Linked DNA regions of Drosophila melanogaster. The protein of the gene in region 1 interacts with the protein of each later gene in a pairwise test. Each region holds a gene or a part of one and is shown on either strand. Other genes may lie near its edges.

Evidence for each region.
Region 2: the proteins of Prosalpha2 (region 1) and CG12857 interact in a two-hybrid assay, tested with the Drosophila melanogaster proteins (2 studies listed by BioGRID).

Annotation. Positions count from the first base shown.
Region 1 is NT_033777.3:12,429,218-12,433,230, forward strand, and holds Prosalpha2 (proteasome alpha2 subunit), read left to right. Parts: upstream 1-2,103; 5' UTR 2,104-2,223; coding exon 2,224-2,264; intron 2,265-2,366; coding exon 2,367-2,443; intron 2,444-2,528; coding exon 2,529-2,784; intron 2,785-2,849; coding exon 2,850-3,005; intron 3,006-3,069; coding exon 3,070-3,244; 3' UTR 3,245-3,339; downstream 3,340-4,013. Other genes in the region: CG5245 (uncharacterized protein), read left to right, coding at 453-1,958; Aos1 (activator of SUMO 1), read right to left, coding at 3,378-3,855, 3,912-4,013. UniProt on the Drosophila melanogaster protein: The proteasome is a multicatalytic proteinase complex which is characterized by its ability to cleave peptides with Arg, Phe, Tyr, Leu, and Glu adjacent to the leaving group at neutral or slightly basic pH.
Region 2 is NT_033778.4:14,757,407-14,761,572, reverse strand, and holds CG12857 (uncharacterized protein), read left to right. Parts: upstream 1-1,970; 5' UTR 1,971-2,016; coding exon 2,017-2,090; intron 2,091-2,147; coding exon 2,148-2,898; intron 2,899-2,953; coding exon 2,954-3,451; 3' UTR 3,452-3,666; downstream 3,667-4,166. Other genes in the region: Trs31 (TRAPP subunit 31), read left to right, coding at 3,792-3,967, 4,023-4,166.

The DNA.
Region 1 (4,013 bases):
ATTTTTAATAATTTTCGCAACGCCGGAGCGTTCTGTTTTTTTTAACAGATAGGTAAACAGTGTGACCGAAGCTGGACCGGTAAGGAAACGACATCAAAGATGGGCTAAGCGCGTTTTCAAAGTATACCGCATAAAATATTTTTAGAGGGCAAACATTTTGAACATTTAAACATTTTACTACATTAGAATGCATAAATTGATTGAATTAAAATACGGAGACTGGTGTTTTTAATCTGCATAATTTTGTAGTTGTAGCTAGTGCAACAAGGTTTCTATCAGTTCCAGGAAAACGCTTTGTTTACAAGCAAAGTGCTGATTTTTATGTTGATGGTCTTACCCTTTTGTTGTACAAAATTCCGGTGCTAAAATCGGATTAAAAGCGCATGAAGTTATTCGTAAGTAGTTGAAAATCGCACTAGAGATGAATCCTAATGTTTATAGTTTTCAGAACTATGGATCTGGCGAACGTAGATCAACGCCCCGTGAAGGACGAACCACCTCAAGAAGACACTTTCGAAGAAGAATTAATCTTCATTTCTAACAGCGACTTCGAAGAGCTTGAAAGCGAAATAAAGATTGAGAACTTCTGTAGTTATGGCAAAGATTTGGAGCCAGTTAAAGGCGTCCCGTCGAAGCTGAAGACGTGTAAATCCAAAATAGCAAAGAAGCGCCCCTTGCGAAAGCAAACAGATACGTTTAAGTGTACCCAATGCCAAAAGACGTTTACAAGAAAGGAAAACCTCGAATCACACTTGCGACTTCACGCAGAAGAACGTCCGTTCGAGTGTTCCCACTGCTCCAAGAGCTTTGGACGCAGGACGCATTACAAGCGACACTTGCTCAAACACGAAAAGCGACCTCATAAGTGTTCCCACTGCTCAAAAACCTTTACCCAGAATTCATCGCTTAAACAACATCTGCATGAGCACACAGGAGAGCGCCCCTTTAAGTGTACCCAGTGCTCGACGTCGTTCGCGCGAAAATCTCATCTTCAGGTACACTTACGTACGCATAGTGAAGAACGACCCTTTGAGTGTACCCATTGCGAAAAGGCATTTAAAAACAATTCACATCTCCAGGAACACTTGCGAACGCATCAGGAGGCACGGCCCTTTAAGTGTTCCCACTGCTCAAAGAGTTTTAAGCTAAGATCAATTCTACAAAAGCACTTGCTGACGCACGCCGAACGATCCTTTAAGTGTACCCAGTGCCCGAAGACTTTTCTGCAGAATGATAGTTTGCAAATTCATTTGCGAGTGCACGCGGGCGAAGACCCGTTCAAGTGTCCCCATTGCTCAGAGACCTTTGCAAGGAATTCGAGACTTCAACTACACTTACTTGAGCACGCTGGAAAAGAGCCCCTGAAGTGTTCCCAGTGCTCAGCCACCTTTGCCATGAGGTCACTTTATCGAGTCCACGTGCGTTTGCATACAAGAGAGCGACAGTACAAGTGCGCCGAATGCTCGAAATCTTTCTTCAAGAAGTCACATCTTGTGGAGCATCAGCAAGTGCATACGGGAGAGCGGCCCTTTAAGTGTACCCACTGTTTCAAGGACTTCAAATGTCGTACGCATCTTCGGGTGCATATGCTTGATCATATTGGAGAAAAGGTACCCAAGTGTTCCTACTGCTCGAAGGAGTTTAAACTAAGCTCGCAACTGCTGGTGCACCTGCAAGAGCATACTGGAAAAAACCAATTCGAGTGTCCCCACTGCTCGAAGTCCTATACAACTAGCTCGACTCTTCACATGCATTTGCGAACGCACACGGGAGAATTGCCCTTCAAGTGTTCGCACTGCTCAAAATTGTTTGCGAGAAGCGCAGAACACCAGGAACACTTGCGAACGCATACGGGGGAAAAACCCTACAAGTGTTCACACTGCTCAACCCGATACACACAAAAGTCCAGTCTTGGGCGACACCTGCGGCGAACCCTATGCGGCACTAAATCGGATTAAAACCAATTAGTTTAGAATTAACTTAGAAATAATGTAATAAGAAGTAAAGTAGGCGAAAATAAATAAATGAGTTTAAATATTTTTTTAAGTTTAGAAATCGGTAGTGTGCCCATTTGTTTAGTCCCCCTGATCGACCTGTACCATATTTGGCATTCAGCATTCGGTCACACTGCCGCCCAATTGCTGTGTCATTTTTGTTTCTGTGCGAAATAAGTCGGCTTTTTCATTTTACACATCAAATCACTGCATTTGCGGCCCAGGAAATATGGCTACCGAACGATACAGCTTTTCGTTGACCACGTTCAGGTGAGAGCATCGCTATAGCCGGAGCGGAGCATTCGCTTCGCCCCGCGCAACACAAACTGCCGCCATGACTGGGCAATAAGTACAATTTTCTACCGTTTGCAGTCCTTCCGGAAAACTCGTCCAACTGGAGTATGCATTGGCGGCCGTATCTGGCGGAGCTCCCTCCGTGGGCATTATAGGTTAGCATGCCGCACAGCCAGTCAGCCTGTCAGCCAGTACTGTGCATTCAACTAACACACTATTATTTATTTTTCTTGGCTGTAGCTTCCAACGGCGTCGTCATTGCCACAGAGAACAAACACAAGTCACCGCTGTATGAGCAGCACAGTGTACATCGCGTGGAGATGATCTACAACCACATCGGCATGGTGTACTCGGGAATGGGTCCGGACTACCGCCTGCTGGTCAAGCAGGCCCGCAAGATCGCCCAGACGTACTACCTGACCTACAAGGAGCCGATTCCAGTGTCACAGCTGGTGCAGCGCGTGGCCACGCTCATGCAGGAGTACACTCAGTCCGGGTAAGTGTGCGCGCTTTTCTCGACTTTGGGTTCCCATAGATAATCGTATGCAATCCCACCAACAGTGGCGTTCGTCCCTTTGGCGTTTCCCTACTGATCTGCGGCTGGGACAATGATCGTCCGTATCTCTACCAATCCGATCCTTCGGGCGCCTACTTCGCCTGGAAGGCCACTGCCATGGGCAAGAACGCAGTGAACGGCAAAACTTTCCTGGAGAAGCGGTAAGTACCAATAATAGTACACCAATTAAAGTCGCAAGTCACTCATATTTTCATCAACCTGCAGCTACAGCGAAGATCTGGAGCTGGACGACGCTGTTCACACCGCCATCCTTACGCTGAAAGAAGGTTTTGAGGGAAAAATGACTGCCGACAACATTGAGATCGGAATCTGCGATCAGAACGGATTCCAGCGTCTGGACCCCGCCTCAATCAAGGACTACTTGGCCAGCATCCCCTAAACTTAAACGCCCCGCTAAGATTACCACAAGCTAAGCTTTCTTAATAAGTACGGGACATTAAAAAACCAATAAAATTTTACAACTGGTGTTATTTGATATTCAGATTTTTATAAATAAGCCCTTTGTGGTAAATTCACTTCGCTCCGATGGCCTCAACGTATCCGGCACAAGTCTCTGGGTCAAAAACGAACAGATTACGGTGTGGCGCCTCCAATTTAGTAACCACCTTGATGACCTCTTGTGCCACAACGCCGCCGACAACAGCGACCGCTGGCGAGATCTGTGCAAAAATCAGACCTAGAGCTTCGTCGCCCAGTATAGAGTTGGGCAGCAGTTCGTCGCGAATTCCGCGAAGCAATTCCAGGTCAGCTTCTCGGGTCTTGTAGCTGGGATCCCGCTTGTGGGTTGTGCGGAACTTTTGCAGGACACTTAATAGCAAAACACCCGGGCCATTGCGCTTCAATTTTCGCAAATAACTAGGCTCGGTAACATCGAAATCAAGCCAGGCAGAGTAGCCGGGATAATCCACATCACGCTGCGTTGGAATGGACACGGTTTCATACTTCTTTTTCTTCTCCGAATTGGCTACGACCTTGTGCTTAATAACATCCCTGGAAAAAAGGTGGACATTAAGTTAGCAATGGGCAATGGTAGGTAGGGAACCTACTCGACGTAGCTGTGCTTCTGCAGACTGGCAAAGTAGAACCCGAAGGTGCCCCACACATCGGTGGCTATGAACTTGACGCCCAGGTCCCGGCAAATGGTGTCA
Region 2 (4,166 bases), on another chromosome or scaffold:
GCACAGCTTTTTCAAATCGGGTGAAAGAAGAATGCGTAAGAAGCAATTCAGCTTGAAAATCAGTTTGCCAAAATGGGTCTGGGGTTCGATTTTAGTATCATTTCGGTATACTCCATTTGAATTGCCATAATTAATTGTATATACAAAAGAGCAGGAAGGATTATGTATCTAATTTTAATATACTTTTAAAATTGTAACTTATGTTTAGTGCTCTCGCTTAATTATAGTTTTGTAAAAACGGGCTATTTGTTTTTATTCGTAACTGAACACACATTTTTTTGAAAAATCAAAATATTATACAATGATTGTTTTAGTTTTAGTTGTTTAGGGTTTTTTGCTATTTTACACTTGCTTGTTTACAATTCGAAATTGGAGAACAGTATTAAAAGGCCAAGGCGAAGGCAAAGGCGAAACGAGAACTAAATATATTTAAATGCGATTTTCTCTGCGCGATTCCAATTTGTTAATCAATGTCACGCGCTCAAAAACTCACACGAAAAGTTCAAACAAACGGCAACCTGATGCGCAAATGAATAAAAAAAAAAAAATCGAGACACGCAACAACTCGGCAGAAGAATTAGTGGACGACGACGACACGGCTGTCGAGCCGTTCTTCTCCGAACCTGAAGAAGAATTACAAATTGTATTCGATTTACTCCTCTAGCAAAAGAGTCTGCGGCAATGCTCAAGTTTTGTGCGTTCGCTATGCTCGGCAATTGTTACTTAAATGTGCTTTAGTTCAGAACTATGTACCCATTCGGTTGCCTTATAAAAAGGATGTTTTTGTCTCTTCTTAGGGCTCATGAAGATTCAAAATATTCCTTTTGCCCCAAACTCAAAACGTTTGTTTTCCAAAATCTTTTGTTCAGACGTTGAAATAGAATGAGAAACCAATTAGAATTAGAGAGTCGATGGACAAACAAAGAGCGCAGCATTGCTCGATTGGAAATCTTTTGCAACTAAATAATTCTAGAATGCGAAGCAATTTGTAATTTTTATTGAAATGCCAACAACTTTGGGCCGTTTATAAAATGGCCGAAAGAGGAGGCATTTGAGCAAAGGGGTAAAAATAAAACAAAAACAAAAAACAAACAATTTAAGTGTTTTCAAAAAGTCAACAAACTCATATATGCAGCTATATATATATATAAAAATAATAAAAAAAAAAACATTAATTTATTTCTTACTATATAATTATTGTTGTACTAAGTCGGTGAGAAAACCCATGAAAGAAAGAAATTCACACGAAAACTAAAAAACAAAATGCATATTTATTAAAAATAAGCAAAGGTTGTGCAAAAAAAAAACACATTAAAAAGCAACATTATTATTGTAAAAATTAACTAAATACGGCAATTGTTATTAAATGTGCAAAATTCAGCAAACACATTGATACAAACCTCAGAAAATACAAGCCAAGATCTGAAAACGGACATCAATGGAATGCAAATTTTTGAAAATATAAGGCAAGATGAACCGTGAACGGATCAAACAGAAACGGAAACGGAAACAAAACACTCAACAACAAGAAGTACAAAATGTTAAATATGTATCTATAATTTACAATTACGTTTTATATTACTCTCTAATTTACACGCTTACACAATGGAAAAATAGCTAACTATTATTGCAATCGTCCTCAAACACACAATAAAACTAGATCAAAAGGCGGAATTATTACTTTAGCTAAAATAAAATATCACCTTTTGCAATTTGTATCATTTTCTTACCCTTATTGTTTCACATCGAAATCAGAAAAAATAGTTAAAATAGCCGCATATACTCATATTAAATTGAAAAGAAACGTGTCATTGCAGAAAAGGATAAAGAAAATAGTAATATAAATGATATATTTATTCATATAAATGTATTTGAAAATGTGAACAAAAGAATACCAACAATAAAACACAATTTAATAAACAATGTGAAAGCTACGAGTGTGTTTTTTTTTTAAAACACTTAAAAACACAGTAGCCGTGCAGTCAAAAATCCAAAACAAGAAAACCAAATTTCGAAATGGAGGAGCTAATGAGGCAGAACGGACAGAAATGCGAGAGGCAGGAACTCACCTGCAGCGTTTTATTTACCAAGTGAGTTAATCTTAAACCAGTCGGAGTAATCTTAAAATATTTTCCTTCTCCTTGCAGTCCCAAGCTTAGTGCCGAGAAGTTATCCTCCAATGATGAAATAAACTCCATTGCGAGATTCGTATCGAAGGCGGAGGATCTCGAAATGCATAGAGTGTTCAGTAAGATATCAAAGAATGGTGTCGAGGAGACCACGTCTCTGAATCGCTCCCTCTTCGAGTTCGGTCATAATTTCGAGGATGCCGATGGCTGGCTGAAACTGGAGCAGCCTTGCAAGGATCGGCTGGCCACGGTGCTGCGCTACATGTTCGAGTCCCATCTGAAGACCACTGTGCAGATAGAAATCAACAATATGTACTTCAATTGCCACTTCATCGTGCTGCAGGTGTACTCTCGCTTCTTTAGTGAACTGGAGATGATTCCGCTGCTGGTCACCCTGCCCGAGAAGATCGTGTCCCAGAAGGCCTTTATGCTCTCCTACAAATGGATGCTGAGCGATGAGCCCGTCCTGGAGCTGGCTCACATTGTGGAGGTCTATGTGGCCGCCACTTATTTGAGGATCTCTGGTCTGGCGGCGCATTGTTGGAAATATTTCGATGATGAGGAATACTACAACGAGGATACGGCATGTGTCCTATACGTCGAGTCGAAGGACAATCCCGCCATGGATGTAGTTCGCAATTTGATGCTGACTAGGATCCGCAAGTTTCTGCTCACCTTTGTGGCCACCAGGGATTTCCTCGATCTGCCGACCTCCCATCTGATTTTTTTGCTCGAATCCGATCAAATCTGTGTGAACACCGAGATTGAGGTGGTGTTCAACATAATATTTATAGTTATTATTGCATTTTATATGTTTTTCTTAGGTTTTCTTTATAGCTGTTCGATGGCTGGGTCACGATTGGAACAAGAGGAAAGTGCACGTACGTCGTTTAATGTCCTGTATTCGATTCAACCTGATGCCATTGTGGTATCTACTATATGCGCGACGGGAGGAGGATCACCCGTTGGTGATGAAGCTGATTTTCAACCCGGAGGTGGAGTACAAGATCGACGAATCCATATCGAGAATAACGTCGCGCATGTACGAGGATGCCTTGGAGGGCAATGACGCACAGAGTGAGGAATACGCAAGTGATTCCGGACAGCGAAACTGGATATGCGATAGCTTGTGCAGCTATTATCACGGCGTCGGTTGTCCCAATACCCGGGAAATTCGTTTCAAACACTTCGAGGATTACCTTTCGGAATTACAACAATGCTCCAAAGATCACTGGTCTCAGGTGATATTTCAGGACCCGAGTAAAAAGATTGACTGTTGCAGCACAAGGAAGATAAAATCGGACGATTTTGTTGCCGATTAACTATTGAGTTTGAATAGTAACGACTAGAATTCAAATTTGCGGGCTTCAGTTTGTGCTAGTATAACAACTTGGCACACTTTTCTGTTATACATTGTACACTTCGTTCATTTGATATTTATGAAACAAATCAGCATATTTTTAATAATATATTTTTTAAAATGTACATCAACATTTTAAAAAAAAAGCAAGTGGTTTAATAAATATAATTAATATTTATTGTATTATTGTCGCAACTTTAAGTGTGACCATTTCTGCAACGCTCTTTGGCATTTCGGGCAGATAGGGTGGCGTGCACACTTTGCATTGTTTTGGAAAATAATTTGATACATTTATCAGGAAAATGGAAAAACTGGAGGCCCTAAAAATATCCTCGATGCGTCCGCGCAGCAACATCCTAGACAGACCACTATCCAAGGGCAAAACGGAGGTTTCCCAGAGCATTGTGGCGCTGCTTTTCAGCGAAATCGTCCAGTACTCGCAGAGCCGAGTGTTTACAGTCCCAGAATTGCAAACAAGGTGGGAGTTTCTCTAAGTTTTTGCGATTAATTCGTTAATTCCAAGGCGTTTTCAGACTCCACGATCTGGGTCAAGATGTAGGCACCCGCATAATCGACCTGTATTTCGTGAGGGAGCGCAGCTCCAAGCGAGAAACAAAACTAACCCAAATGCTTCTCTTTGTTAAGACCACGGTGTGGAAGAATCTCTTTGGCAAAGA